Linked DNA regions of Saccharomyces cerevisiae S288C. The protein of the gene in region 2 purifies or fractionates together with the protein of the main gene of each other region. This does not show direct contact. Each region holds a gene or a part of one and is shown on either strand. Other genes may lie near its edges.

Region 1 (7,938 bases), on a different chromosome or scaffold from region 2:
ACCGATAGCTGGGATGGGTCATCCGTACTCTTATTCGCTTCATTCTCAGTGGGAATATGGACCTGTGCGGTTTTGTGCTCTTCAACCTGAGCTGAATCTCCTGGGTTACTATCCGCTCCATCATTGCCACTAAAAAGAGCCGTTTCTGCCACCTTTACAGCGTCGACCACACCCGTATCCTTGACATTATCTTCGACAGCTTCGTCCTCCGCAGGTTCAACTAATTGTAAATTTTCGTCAATCATCTGGTTCATCTGGTTGATATCTATCTCTATTTGAGAAAGCCTCTTCTTTATCTTGTCCTGGTCCAAGCCCATCGTTTCTGTTGTTCTATTTCACACTAACATAGCATCACCATAACAGTAAATCAAATTACAAAACTATTAATGATTTTTGTTTATTATGAAGTTTGAATTTTCAGCGCAATATTTATTTCATAACGCGTCTAAAATGGTCTGGGTTCTGGGCATCTCTAAAGCCCTTCACTACTAGTGAAGAAGAAGAACAAGTAAGGCTTTTGGAAAAGAAAGAGCATCAAATTGAACGATAGGAGAAGTGCTACATACATTTGCCAAAGATCCGCATGGATAGAGTACGCTCTTTGATTGGAAATCGCCGGGGACGCCGACATAATCGCCAACATCCTCCGTATCCTCACAGTGGGTCTCCATCCACCGTCAATCTCTTGGGAGCTAATGGTTATGGAGACGACCAATCTACAATATTTGCACGAGAAAATGAATCTCTGGAAACCTCTGCCAACGAGGGCGATGATAGTGCGGATGCAGCTACTTTGAATACAGCGGTATCAGAAGGCTCAACAATTGGAGACCTACAAAGACAGGGTTATGTTAACAGAGCCCCAAGATTCACGTCAGAAAGAGCCATGCCATTCGTTTCGGTGCTACTACAACGAGGGTTTTTTGCATTCCCCAGTGAAGAATCTCTCCAGCTATTTTTACACAACAAGAGGAAGCTCGATAACATTGATCCAAAGAGGGGTCTAGGACTTCCCCTATTTCACGCCATTTCTTTAAACCTGGTCAAGTCGCTTTTCAGTGATCAAAATACACCGGTAATGAGGATATATAAATACGTTATGATAGACTCCCAATGCGATAAACCTCCATTAAACTCAGAAGTGGTCTCTCGAATAAACGAAAATGTCTCCATATATAAATATGAATTCTGCACTATTCTAAAAAAAATGGAAAGCCATAATTTTTCGAGCAGGGTAGAGCACGATTTTATATTTCATAGAAAAGATGAACCTGATGTTCATATCCCCATGATTAATTACAATCAAAGGAAAAATGCGGATACGGCAATTCATGGATTAAATCTTCGTTGGTACGGGACAACTAGTTTAGCTTCACCTTTTGGCTCAAATAGCATCAACCTACTTGTACTCGATGATACGATGGCATCCTACATGAACCAACAAACTATTGAAGAGTTTGATTCTTACAGCCGTTCCCGTCCCACAAGACCGCTGGGTTATCTCCCAGTATGGGCCAGATACACAGATGATAAAGTTAGTGTCATACCGAAAAAAAGAACTTTGAGAGTAGCTACCTTGTACTTACAAGAAACTGATTCGTTTGATGATGGCTCTAGTTTAACATCTACCAATTATACTGAAATGGGCTCTAATATCATTGAAAATGTGCCGTGGGATAGTCAGATACTTACTTGCATGTGCATGCTATTACATGAATATGAATCAAGAAAGGAGAAACGCCACACCGCATGGGGCAGCTCGACCACATATATGCTAAATGGACCGGCAGGATTACTGATGTAAACCCATTTGCATTTACTTGTGTTTTTTCCTGTTACTATTTAGTCATAATACCGCTAAGAAGCATATAAATATTCAAAGAGAAATATTGTCGTACACCATTAATTTTTCAATAACTCTTAAATACGTTTAGAATGTCACAAGTTTTCCTCACAAGTTTTCCTCTATTATGTAATGTTCCCTATACTACTTTATTCCTACAGTAATAATGTTGACTATCTATTCCTTTTCCTACTATCTTGTTCATCTCTTGGTGGATTCGGCATACGATTGTAACCAAACGTACGATTATACCACTTTATCATGTTACGTGGTGGTTCACCAAACACCATGTAGTACTCGCAAAATAAACACATGGGACTTGATTCGTTAACTAGGACAGAGAAATCTGGAACACGGTTTTCCGTTCTGGAAATATATTCAAAATCATGATAATAGTAGTTTCGTAGTTTGGATAAGTTTTCATAATGATGATGCGGGCAACAACTTTTATGGTCTCTAGATTCGTCATAAAAGTCATGTCGCCTTACATGCCCATTCTTTTTCGAGTTCTTTGACCTGCTGTGCTTTCTAGAAGATATGGAATGTTGACCGTCTCCATGCAAACGAGCTGCGTCAACGGTATCATGATCGATATCTGTGACTTCTTCTGCAACATCTAAATCCTCTACATTTGTTACAGTTCGCAACCCCCCCTGTTCTTCACTTCCAAACCCTCCCGGTAACACCGATTCTATCATTTGAGAAATCTTTTCCCCTATACCATCCGGTGTATCCAGTTCTTGGCTCTCATAATCGAAAATTATTTCGGCTTCTTCGCCATCCAAGTTAAGTTCTGAGTCTTTAAGATCATCATCTAAAATATTTTGCAAGTCCTCCTCTATTATGAAGTCTGCACTATTTCTAGAAGCTATTTGGCCTATTTTACTTTCAAAGGTTTCCTTTTCCTCTGCGGAATCAATGTGGTATGCACTTTGGCCATCTATTTTCGCAAGTTCATCTTCCAAACTCAACGAGTCCATCTTAGGAAGAGCATCTTTGAGCTCTTCTAACCGTGCATTTGATAAAGCTTTTCCTCCATTTCTTATAACGAATTGCATTGCATGAGGAGCGTTTTGAAAAGCTTGTCTGTCTTGAAGCTGATTGGAAAGAATTTTAGTCAGCGCTTTCACACCTTCTTGCATCATAACGTTTATTGGCATAGGTCCATCCTCTGAAAGTACCTCCACAGATGCATTAGTCGTTCCACTAGATTGGTTTGTAGGTGTCATTTTCTTGATGATATGGCATGAAAATAGAAGAGAAGAGAATATGATTAAAGCTATAAATTCGTCGTAAGAAGCACGATATCAGTAAATATGGATAACAAATTACCAAATATTTAGCAAAGAAATTCCTATTCAGGGTATATGCAAAAAGTGCAATCTGTAGTTCTTGCTGTAGCTCTCGCTTATTTTGCCATTCTCATCGTCCAGATCATCTCAACTTTCTTGTCCCATCGCTAAAACATTCACTCGCGCGAGAGTATGTAGTATATCATAGAATACGTAAGACTGGAAATGCTTGAAAACTGTGCTATTTCATCTCATATTCAAGTGAATATACATACATACATACATATATTTATATATATTTTCAACTAGTGAAAACTATCTATATTAGTCTATGATTCATATAAACCCTAAAAAACCTTAATTCTTTTTCAAAGTACGTTGTTTTTCGGCATTTTCGACAACTTTTTCTTCAATGAATAGACCTTTCCTTCTTCTGATGGCATTCATATGCTTACGGGCAATATTCTCTCTATCTGCTGTATCACCTAGTTCCTCCAATTCTTCTTCTGTGGTTGGGACCCAAAATGGATCTAAATCGATACACTCGAATCCGGAAAATACCAATTGAGGTTGTGCTGCACCAGATGTTCGTTTACGAATATCTTCACTTAAACCGAATGCTTCCACAACGGGCACATGTGCCTCAATTTGAAAAAACGGTGTACCTTCTTTCATTTCTTCAGAAATGATTTTACCATGCCTCTGTAGAATAACGGCATACACTTTTCCAAGTACATCGACAGAGGTTTGAATATCACATGAGTAAATTGCCCACATAATTCTTGGGGACCAGTCTAAAAAGGCCTCATGTATAGCGTCCCTTGTAGAAGTTATCAACCTCCCTGATAAGTCCACAATATGTTGTTGGTAGCGCGGATCTTCAATAGATTCAATTTCGTCTTGTGACATCTTATGTACGCTTTCAACAAGAACACACATTCCCTGTACGGGCTCATTTGCCAGAGGTCCTTCGCTAACAGCCAGTTGGAAGCCATTTTTGATGGAATCTGAATACTCAAAGGCTGCTGGAGTACCTTCAAATAGGCTTCCAAGAAGATTATCCTGCGACAGCAAAATGTTGCACCCAACTCTACTTGGCCCAAAACCTGCTAACTTTACTTTAAACCCACTTAATAGTTCTCTGCTCTTCTCCTCCTGATTTATGACCTCTTCAAAAGCAACGAGTAAAGACTTTTTGTCTAGAAAAGAACTTCCAGTTGATTCTATGACGGGATCCATGCTTGAAGTGGACGTCTTCAAAATGTTTTTAATGCTATTTTGATGTTGAGATAAAAAGTCTGTAACTTTACCGCTTAATGGGAACGTTCTGAATGTAATCTTGTACTGGCTCAATAGTAGTTCATGAACACCCCTTCCCAGCTGTGAATTCTGCGGTGGATTCATATCTGAGGCTGATAAAAATGTTTCCCTATATGGAATAGCCGGTTCAGAATGTGTAATTTCTATTCCTGCAAATCTCTCTGTTAAATCTTTTAGGCATCTTTCTAAATGTAATTCACCGGCCGTACACAGAATGTGTTCACCAGTATTTTCAACGTATGTGTGCACGCAAGGATCTGCTTGATCCAACAACTTTAATCCTCGTACCAACTTGCTCATTTCCACAGGATTGGCTGGCTCCACAGCAACACGAACGATTGGCGTAAAATGGAAATTGACGCCCGCTAGATTGACGCCTTGTACGCCCTTCTCTATCAACGTACCACTCTTTAAAACTTTACCGGCCAGACCACGAATACCGACTATATTTCCTGATGGACAAACGTCCAAAGGAACCAATTCCTTACCCATAAACAAATATAAATGCGTAATAATCGCAGTTTCAATATGCTCCTCTGGACATTTTGGATCATATTTTGGACCCAATACCGAAATCTCCTGACCAACTCTTAGTGTGCCACTGTATATTCTTGCAAATGCTACCAAGCATTCTTCCTTTTCGTCAAAAATATCATCTACTTCATCGTTCACATCCTCTGAAATTTGCTTAATACTCTCCAAAAGTGGATCTTCTTCCTCATATTCAAACATTGAACTTAGAGGGTCATTTGGATCTATGTCAGTTGGTACAAAATCTAGGCCGAAGTTATCTTGACTATCTGAATCATCCTCCCCCTCATATTCAAATTCTAAATCCAAGGCGGAAGAAGGCTCTGAAACAACACAGAAAACATCATTATTTCTTGAAGGTTTTGGCTTTGTCTGTTCTCCTACTTCGGGGGTCATAACGGTATCTTTTGCTCTTTTATATAAATCTGATGTATTTTTAGAATTGTCATTCAAATCCATCATTGCCATATTTTCTACCATACCAGCATGTTTTGCAGCATTAAGTGCTTCCTCACGTGCCTTTCTACTTCTCTCCATCAGCTCATCCGAAGATGCTATCCTCTTAGATTCAACAGGTAATTCTTCTCTAGGAATTGAAAGCATCTTAGATACGTATGCACTAACTGGTCCTTCTTTATCACATGTCTTCATGGCTTTCAGAAGTCTTGGATCCATGGCTGCTGTGTCGGATTCGGAGACCAAAATAGTGTTCAAACGATCGGTTTGTGATTCCAAAGGTGAAGGTAATTTTTCAATAACTGTTAACAATACTGCTGTGCTGACGGGTAGCCATTGACCCATGATAGTTCTTAACAATTGTTTATCGTCCTTCGACCTTAGATCACGTGCAAGTAGCTTAATATTTAAAGTTTTTGCTATTTTTTCGACCATTTCAGAATCTCTCGATGTGATTATGTTTTGATAAATTTTCCATATATTTTCGAGGATTAGCGATGTGAAAAGGGGTTTCAGGGATCTTCCCTTAAGGCCTTTATTGTTAATAATTTTTTTTGTCTTGGGATCCATATAGAAATCACCCCATAAAACTTTCTGTAGGTTTTCCCTTTTAGCGCCTAATTTTTGTTCGTAAAATTTGGCCAATTGACCGATGTTGAAACCCCAACCATCAATTGCGGAAGCAAAAATAACGTTGTTATCAGTAGGGTTAAAGTAAATACCCGAATCATCCTTTTCAATATATTCCGCGTTTTCGTTCTTTTCTAATTGCTCCCTCCAAAATAAATCATCCAATTGTCTCTCGTTTGCGAAAAAGGACCCGATAACTGAGTTGACTTGTTCAATGACTTTGGACAAGTGAATATAAGCTTCTTGGGGAGTTAGTTGTAGTTCTGTGATCAATCTATCAATCTTATTCAATACTAAAATGGGCTTCAGCTTCTCCGTCCAACATTGTCTCAACACTGTGACGGTTTGCGAGCATACCCCCTCTACGACATCAACCAGTACGACAGCACCATCACATAGTCTTGAAGCTGCACTGACCTCACTTGAAAAATCAATGTGACCTGGGGAATCAATTAAGTTTACTAGATGCTCGCTTACAAGAGGCTCATCGGAACCTTCTTGTTTACGCAATACCCTAAAATATAAAGAGATAGCCGATGATTCCATTGTGATACCACGTAGTTGTTCGTCAGGCCTGGCATCTAAGAATCGAATTTTGCCGGCAAGCCTTTGTGATATAATACCATTCGAAGCCAAAAGAGAATCTGAAAGTGAAGTTTTACCGTGATCAACATGAGCAACAATACATATATTTCTTATACAGGAAGGGTCATTTTGCAGACGTTTGTAAGTCTCCGATTCCACTCTAGGCATATTTGCTTATCGTGCTTAGAAAAATAACTGAGTTTGGTTATTTTATAAACTATTTTGATAATCTTGATGATGTACAAAGATTGTATTTCGGGTGCACCTATCTATCAATATTCTTGGCTCTTAAGTTCCCATTTTTCAAAATTTCTTTTCTCGTAGGAAAAAGAAAAAGGAAGCGATGAGCTGAAAATTCCACTTTACAATATATCGAATATCCAGTATACCAAAACTACATACAAACGAACACGTCATTAAAAGATGTCTGATAAGCCCGACTCCCAAGTATTTTGTCCAAATTGCAATGAAAGACTTCAAAAGTGTTTAGTACAGCAAAATTATGCCATTATAATATGTCCCAGCTTAGTCTGCGGCTACCCATTCAATCAAAGAGAAGTACTCGAAAATCTAACGTATGTAGACGATAATGACGTCTTAAAAGTTGCAAAAAAAAGATTATCTTCACGAAGCAAACCATAAAATAGTTGCACTATTGCTGTTCATTATCTTTCATTATCCCTAGTAACGCCATTGCAGAGTCAAATATGAGCGATAACAATATAAAGAGCAATAACATGATAGTTGAAATTAACATAAAAGAAGCGACATAATTAAAGGTCTCAAAGAGTGAAGATCAAGTATCCGGTTTTTACGAATAATCTACTTTCTATGTGAAACCCAAAAAAGTTCGTACAAGGAAAACTAAAAAGTGTGTAATAACTTGTCTAGCTTTGGCATTAAAACTTGTCAATTATTCATCACCAATATAGACTAATGCGTTTTGGAACGCCAAACCGCAGTGACAAATAGCAAATATGTAGCTGTCATATCGGCATATAATAACAGTTTTCTACCAAATGCTGTCCTACATTCAGAGATCTTACATCCTTACATCTAAAGTAAAACCTAGACATTTACTTCGAGTTATACTTTTTTTTTATTTATCTATTTTTTCTCTTGCGGACATTTAACACCTGAATTCCGCCTAACGCCAGGACTGATCCTGCCAGGGAAGGGAGCTTTGTCTAGTGCCAATAGGCCGGACCAGTAGGAAGGTTACAGCAGCTGGCCCGCAGAGTGATTGGGTCACAGGAAATAGCGCAACCTTCTCTTTTGCCC
Region 2 (7,948 bases):
ATAAAATCTTTGGAAAGTTCTGTCAAAGAGCTTTCTCTTAATAAATCTGCAATCCCATCTCCTAGAAGAGGGTCTATGAGCTCGTCATCAGGAAATACTATGTTGCATATCGAGGAGGGTTCTGAAATATCAAATAGCCCTTGGTCAGCCAATACTTCCTCAAAACCTTTAGTATGGGGCGCGAGAAAGGTTTCTTCTAGCAGTATAGCAACCACTGGATCACAGGAGTCTTTTGTGGCAAGACCGTTCAAGAAGGGATTAAACCTCCATTCGATAAAAGTCACTTCGAGTACTCCAAAAAGTCCCTCTTCTGGAAGCTGACTATAATTAAGTTCGATAATTGTACGATACAACTGTGTAGTATCTTTGTAATTATAATCATGATGATAACGCTAATAATTTGTACGTATAATGCTGACTGAAAGATGTACTTTTCTTCTACCGTTTTTCTTCGGCGGCTATTCGTTTACAATGATTTGGAAAAATGAGAAAAATTGAAAATAAAAAATTCTGCTCGATGAGATGAGATGAGGTTATGATATATATGTAAGAATTCCTCAAGAAGAGGTTGCAAGAGTCTGCAGACATTATCATGGCAGCAAATAGCAATAGTAGAGTTGCATCAAACCATACTTCTAAAAAACAAAAGGTTAGGAGGAATATACATCCATTCACGAATAACACTCGGATTAAAAGAGCTAGTAAAATCGTAAAGTTTAATGATTCAGGCGAGGGCGACCATGTTTCAGACCAACGTTCGAACAAGGAAAATGTCCTTACTTATAAATCTTTGAAAAGTCGGGCAAGCGATTTACTCAAAATGAGAGAAACACTTCCCGTTTACCAACACAAGCGAGAAATAATGTCATATATTGAAAGCAATCCCGTTACCGTCCTTATTGGTGAAACAGGTTCTGGTAAATCAACACAAATTCCGCAATTCGTATTAGAAAAATTATATGATACGAAGAAGCATGGGTCGATTGCTGTAACTCAACCCCGTCGTGTTGCGGCCATCAATTTGGCTACACGTGTTGCTCAAGAACATGGTTGCAAACTGGGTGAACAAGTAGGTTATTCTGTCAGATTTGACAATACGACTACTACAAGAACAAGACTTAAGTATCTGACTGACGGTATGTTACTTAGAGAACTTATGATGAATAGTGACCTTAGAGAATACAGCGTCATCGTTATCGATGAAGCGCATGAAAGAACTGTGCTTACAGATTTGATATTGGGGTTCTTAAAATCCTTGATACAAGGGCCAAGACCTGATTTGAGAATAATTGTTATGTCTGCAACATTGCAAGCCGAAAAATTTAGTGAGTTCTTCAATAATGCCCCAATCTTATTTGTAGAAGGAAGAAAATTTGATGTCAAACAATACTACTTGAAGGCGCCAACAGATGATATAGTAGACGCTGTCATCAGGTGTTGTATACAAATAAACCAAGGTGAAGAACTGGGAGATATCTTATGTTTTTTACCGGGCCAAGAAGAGATTGACAAAGCAGTGACTATAATGGAGAAAATTGCAAAGTATGTTTCAGATGAGGCCCCAGTACCATTAATAGTTCCTTATCCTTTATATGCAGCTCTTCCCGCGGTCCAACAGTCCTTGGTCTTCGCTCCGATAAAGGGTTTCAAGAGAAAAGTCGTCTTTAGTACCAATATTGCAGAAACATCTGTTACCATATCCGGTGTTAAATTTGTCGTTGATTCTGGTCTTCGAAAAGTCAAAGTTTGGAGACATCAGCTGGGATTAGCCACTCTACTTACCGTACCCATTTCTCAGGCAAGTGCGATGCAGAGAAGTGGTCGTGCTGGTAGAGAAAGTGAAGGAAAGAGTTTCAGGCTTTATTGTGAGTCTGATTATGTGAAATTACCTAAACAAAGTGAACCTGAAATAGCCAGAAGTGACGTCACATCTCCTGTGTTAATGTTGAAGAGATATGGTGTTGATGACCTGCTAAACTGGACCTGGTTTGAGAACCCTGGAAAGGAAGCTATAGTAATGGGGCTTCAGGAACTTTATGAATTGGGTGCTCTTGACACTCGTGGAAAGATAACTAAACGGGGTCAACAAATGGCTCTGTTACCGCTACAACCGCATTTAAGTAGTGTCTTAATTAAAGCCAGTGAAGTCGGATGTTTGAGTCAGGTCATTGATATCGTCTCTTGCCTTAGTGTGGAAAATTTACTGTTGAATCCGTCACCAGAAGAAAGAGATGAGGTGAACGAGCGTCGTTTGTCCTTATGCAACGCTGGTAAAAGGTATGGTGACCTTATCATGCTGAAAGAGCTTTTTGATATCTATTTCTACGAACTAGGGAAAAGTCAAGATGCAAGCTCTGAAAGAAATGATTGGTGTAAAGGATTGTGTATTTCGATACGTGGGTTTAAAAATGTAATTCGTGTCAGAGACCAGTTAAGAGTTTATTGTAAGCGTTTGTTTTCTTCAATCAGTGAAGAGGATGAAGAATCCAAAAAGATTGGTGAAGATGGCGAGCTAATTTCGAAAATTTTAAAGTGTTTCTTAACTGGGTTTATCAAGAATACAGCTATAGGGATGCCAGACAGGTCTTATAGAACTGTTTCCACTGGAGAGCCGATAAGCATTCATCCATCATCTATGCTATTTATGAATAAAAGCTGCCCCGGTATAATGTACACGGAGTATGTCTTTACTACGAAGGGATATGCCAGAAATGTTAGTAGGATTGAACTTTCATGGTTACAAGAAGTTGTCACTAATGCAGCCGCTGTAGCAAAGCAAAAAGTTTCTGATTCAAAATAAGTCACCTACTCTTAGCGCATTTTTATTGTATATAAAGGCATTTAATGTAATTTATAGAGCATTATAAATCGTAACAACTACTGCAGTATGAGTTTCATGGATTCATTTCTCAATATCTTATGAATATACACAGGTATATATGTATATTCATGTTAAACGCCTTTCGAATTGTTCGTTGGCTTTTTTTGTGAAATTATCTCGGGAAAAGGGCGAAATTATATTATTTTGCCGTTGACATTTTGAAAAGGAATAAAAGATCATGAAAAAAATAAGAAAGGCAATTCGACGCATTTCTCTCAGCAAGCTATTCTTTACTTTTGAAGAACAAAATATTTTAGCAAAAAGGTTAAGACAATATAGTCGGAAGCAGTTCTGCGGGATCTGAAGGAATTGCGGAATAATGAGATTTCACGATAGTATACTTATCTTCTTTTCTTTGGCATCGCTTTATCAACATGTTCATGGTGCAAGACAAGTCGTTCGTCCAAAGGAGAAAATGACTACTTCAGAAGAAGTTAAACCTTGGTTACGTACGGTTTATGGAAGTCAAAAAGAATTAGTCACTCCTACGGTCATTGCCGGTGTCACTTTTTCTGAAAAACCAGAAGAAACACCAAATCCATTGAAACCTTGGGTATCTTTAGAGCATGATGGTAGGCCAAAAACCATTAAACCAGAAATCAACAAAGGTCGAACCAAGAAGGGAAGACCTGATTACTCAACTTACTTCAAAACGGTAAGTTCCCACACATATTCTTATGAAGAATTGAAGGCTCACAATATGGGCCCTAATGAAGTTTTTGTAGAAGAAGAGTATATTGATGAAGATGACACCTACGTCTCCCTGAATCCTATTGTCAGATGTACTCCTAATCTTTACTTCAATAAAGGTCTAGCAAAGGATATCCGCAGTGAGCCATTTTGTACCCCTTATGAGAATTCTAGATGGAAGGTTGACAAGACTTACTTCGTTACTTGGTATACAAGATTTTTTACAGATGAGAATTCCGGTAAAGTTGCTGATAAGGTTCGTGTTCATTTGTCCTATGTTAAAGAAAACCCCGTAGAGAAGGGCAATTATAAAAGAGATATCCCTGCAACTTTTTTCTCTTCCGAATGGATTGATAATGACAACGGTCTAATGCCGGTTGAGGTCAGAGATGAATGGCTGCAGGACCAATTTGATCGTAGGATCGTTGTATCAGTTCAGCCAATATACATATCAGATGAAGATTTCGATCCACTACAATACGGTATTTTATTATACATCACTAAGGGTTCAAAAGTGTTTAAGCCTACTAAGGAGCAACTGGCTTTAGACGATGCAGGTATAACAAATGATCAGTGGTATTATGTTGCATTATCTATCCCTACTGTCGTGGTGGTATTTTTCGTCTTCATGTACTTTTTCTTATATGTCAACGGGAAAAACAGAGATTTCACAGATGTTACTAGAAAAGCTTTAAACAAGAAACGCCGTGTTTTGGGTAAGTTCTCGGAGATGAAGAAATTCAAAAACATGAAAAATCACAAGTACACCGAATTGCCATCTTATAAGAAAACCAGTAAACAAAATTAGATTCCCTTCGAAGTATGCATTCACCCTTCCTCGAGAGGGCTGTTTTTATCTTCCGTCACACTAATAGAAAACCACTCTATCCAGTTTTTTTTGTTACTTAACTTATCTTAACTCGATATTGTATAAATACTGAAGTCCATATACTTCTTTTTTTCTCCTTTGGATAGTAAATACGGTAAATTAAAATTAGTGTAAACTGAACAATATTAACATATATAAATCATCTGTACGACAATTTGATACCAAATAAATAGAGAATGCATCAGCATCCTCCAGGGTTCAAAAGAAAACGCTGGATCTTGCTTCTTTTCCTTTGATTTCTCCTTATATCCATTTCTGTCTTGCAGCAACTTCACATATTTTTTCCAGTGTAATGACCCTTGGATCAGGCTTAAAATGACGCTCAACCACATTATCATCTCCTTCCACATTCCTGCTAAGTAAGCTTTCTTCGTCGCCCTCGCTATTGTCCACATTATCTTCATCTTCATCATCATCTCCGCCGACGTCTTCAATGTAGTAGAAAAAGGGTTCCAACACCAACATAATTTTCCAGAAGTTGTTCGTGCCACAATTAGCAAACAAGACATCTACAAGGGCAGGTAGGTATTCCAATTCAATGTACTCCTCTGCGCAACAAACAAATTCATCTAATTCGTAATCTTGCTCATCAGCAGATAATGTAGAATACATTTCTGATAACAACGTTAATTCTTTGCTAATTGTTTTTGGAATATCTTCTCGAGCTTGCCATAACAGCTTTTGCGCTCTTTCCAGTCTTTCTTGGCTAACGGCATCATCCTTGCTCTCTTTTTCGCCTTTATCACCTTGGACATTTTCGGAGTCTTGTAGAGAAGGCAAGAATCCGTTCTTTTCGCTTTTGACCATAAGCTCATTGTATTCGTTATAGAGGGAGATAATTTTCATCATAGGCTTGTATAATTGCTGACAGACTTTCATTTCCGAGTAAGGTACAATGACTTTTTCCAAATAGTGATTGATCAGTCCTTCCATGAAGTTTGCCCAAATTGACGAAAATACATAATCCTCGTCGTAAGTCGATTCCGTAAAATCTTGGTTGATGTTATGCTGTATGATTTGCTCTGTAAGAGTTGGGAAAAGGTTTTTATGGCTTTTGACCATTTCATCTCTCAAAGCAGTAGATCCAGCGCTATCTGCTCCTTTAGTAGAATTTTCCAAACTATTATCTGTTGAAGACGCCTCTGAGTTCTTTTCACCATCTGTCTTATCTAGCCAGTATTCCGGACCACCCTTTTCAGACAATGTCACCAATAAAAGGAAGAGTTTTACTTTAACCCACGGGTTTAGCGAGTTTACATAGGCGTCCGTAATTTTGCTAACATCGATATTTATTTTTCTATGGATGCATTTGATAAATTTTTCAATGTAATGTGATTTTTTCAATCCGTATTTTTCATTCAGATATCCAACCGAAGTGATTACGTCGTAATTTGTATTTTCCATGTTCGTATGCTTCAAAAAGTTGAATGTTAACTTTCGTCTATTTCCATAATGTCTTTCTCTTTTCTCCTCACCTTTCTTCTTTCTTCTAATCTTTTTTTCTTTTGAAGCACCCAATTTAAGACATCTTTTACAGGTACAGTCCTTTAACGATGGCTCGTTGGCCGCTTGCTTGGGCAATAAATCTTTAGCCATCTTCTTTGGCGCGCTATACTAGGCTTGATTTATAATGTTAGTTATTCCAAAAATGTGAAGGAAATTGATCAAGGCAAGCTCTAATGATGATTATTGACCCATGCAACAAAAAAAGTTTGAATTCTCTTAATTTTCCAGATCGCAAGTTAGTAGTCAATCTGCTAACTTTCGTTATATTTCAAAAAAGTAATTGTACAAAAAAAGTCACCAAAAACGAGGACTTTTTTCACTGCGTTAAAGATTAGATCTACATAATGAATACTCAATTCTTTACTTAATTTCGCTCTACAAAATAGACCATTTAGGAAAGTTGGGTTGCTTCCATCATGTCAAAGTCGTCCTCATCTATATAAGTACACAGAACAGTGCGATCGTTGAATTGCGTACCCGGCAATTCTTCCATTGCGTGTTTTGCTGCCTCCAAGGTCTTGAACTTGATATAAATATTACCGGCTCCGGAAGCCAAGTTTTCAAAATTAAGTCTGTAATCGACGCCGGGTTGGCATATTTTAATCGTATCTGCTCCCGCGATACTATACTTTAATGTTTCTTTAATTTCTGTGATAAAGGTTTCATCTTTCAAATCCAATGGATCAAGACAATTTAAGAGCAACAAAACTCTCGATTCAACACGAACAGATTGGGTAACCAGATTTGGCAGGCTTTGAAACGTAATCCATGAAGTAACTTGTGATATCTTTCCATCATTTGGCTTGAACCATTTGTATGGTTTTAATTTATCAAGAATATCCTGAGTGACGACTTCAAACGATAATAGAATACATTTAGTGAATTCGGATTCTTTGCCAGTGTTGTTTGTATTGGACGAACATTTGTAAAAAAGTGGCTTAGCGGTACCGTTTGTTACATTCAATGACGAAAAAAGCTCTTTCATTCTATAATCTTCACCCTCGCCTATATTTTCCAAATTTTCCAATGCAATTACCGTACCCCTGCAAAAATCGACCAGATGATCAAGTTGTTGAACATAATCATTAGGTCTTCTCCATTTTAAGTCGAAAGTACCAAGCTTCGCATTAAAGAATGATCGACAGGCCAAAACCATAGTGCTACAGATCTGAGAACTAAACTCAACAATAATATGGTCCGGCCTTCCTTCACCAATATAAAAGTTGGAAATTTTAAAGTCCTCCGCATTACTCTCAGTTTTCTGGAGACCTGAAATAAAATTTTCCAGCAAATCTTTCAATCTTGCTACAATGCTGGGGTCGCTGCTTTGAGACAAGCCCGAAATTACAAGCCTTGAATTTGCCTTGGATGAGGCCATGTTGTAGTAAGCCGGAGAATCGAATGATGAACCCGGGTACATTACATTTTGGGAATTATAGTTCATGTCATATTTATTAGTTTGCAACTGCCTTTTATCACGGTCGCCATTGAATTTAGAACCTTCGTTCTTCCTTTGGTAATTGAAACGATCGTAGTTTCCGTTTCCATTTCTTCCCCTTCTATCGAACCTTTCATTTCTTCCTCTTCTTTCATCCCGTTGCCTATTATAGGGATTGTTGTTCCATTGGGGCCCAGTATTGTGACTACTATACCGATTCTCCCTGTTATATGATCTTCCCGATGCATCCCGATAACTTTGACGATGAGGACCTGCCCTTGTTTGTTCATAAGTCGTTCGATTCGTGCTCATAGTAATTATTGACGATGGTCCTCTGTTATTAGAATGTGAAACGTTTCTACTTTTTGGCGCTTTCGGAAGCTCACCGTCACTTTTTTGCCTCTTAAAATGTGTATCTATAACTGCATTATCCGTGTTGAATCTTTTGTTCTCAATCGGCACAACATCCTTTTCTGATTTTCCTATAGACTCCATTATTTTGGATCTCAAATCCTCCAGTCTCTTTTCATCAGCCATCTCCGTG

Evidence for each region. The genes of interacting proteins can lie anywhere in the genome.
Region 1: the proteins of AAN1 (region 2) and IBD2 purify together in Saccharomyces cerevisiae (affinity purification with mass spectrometry, with the first as the bait; 2 studies listed by BioGRID). This does not show direct contact.

The regions. Positions count from the first base shown.
Region 1 is NC_001146.8:323,249-331,186, forward strand, and holds IBD2 (Ibd2p), read right to left. Parts: upstream 3,073-7,938; coding exon 2,017-3,072; downstream 1-2,016. Other genes in the region: BNI5 (Bni5p), read right to left, coding at 1-317; YNL165W (uncharacterized protein), read left to right, coding at 584-1,804; GTPase RIA1, read right to left, coding at 3,493-6,825; YNL162W-A (uncharacterized protein), read left to right, coding at 7,081-7,299. UniProt on the Saccharomyces cerevisiae protein: Part of a checkpoint which monitors spindle integrity and prevents premature exit from mitosis. This cell-cycle arrest depends upon inhibition of the G-protein TEM1 by the BFA1/BUB2 complex.
Region 2 is NC_001143.9:288,253-296,200, forward strand, and holds AAN1 (Aan1p), read right to left. Parts: upstream 6,057-7,948; coding exon 4,704-6,056; downstream 1-4,703. Other genes in the region: SMY1 (Smy1p), read left to right, coding at 1-321; DHR2 (RNA helicase), read left to right, coding at 593-2,800; PSG1 (Psg1p), read left to right, coding at 3,201-4,379; MUD2 (Mud2p), read right to left, coding at 6,358-7,941.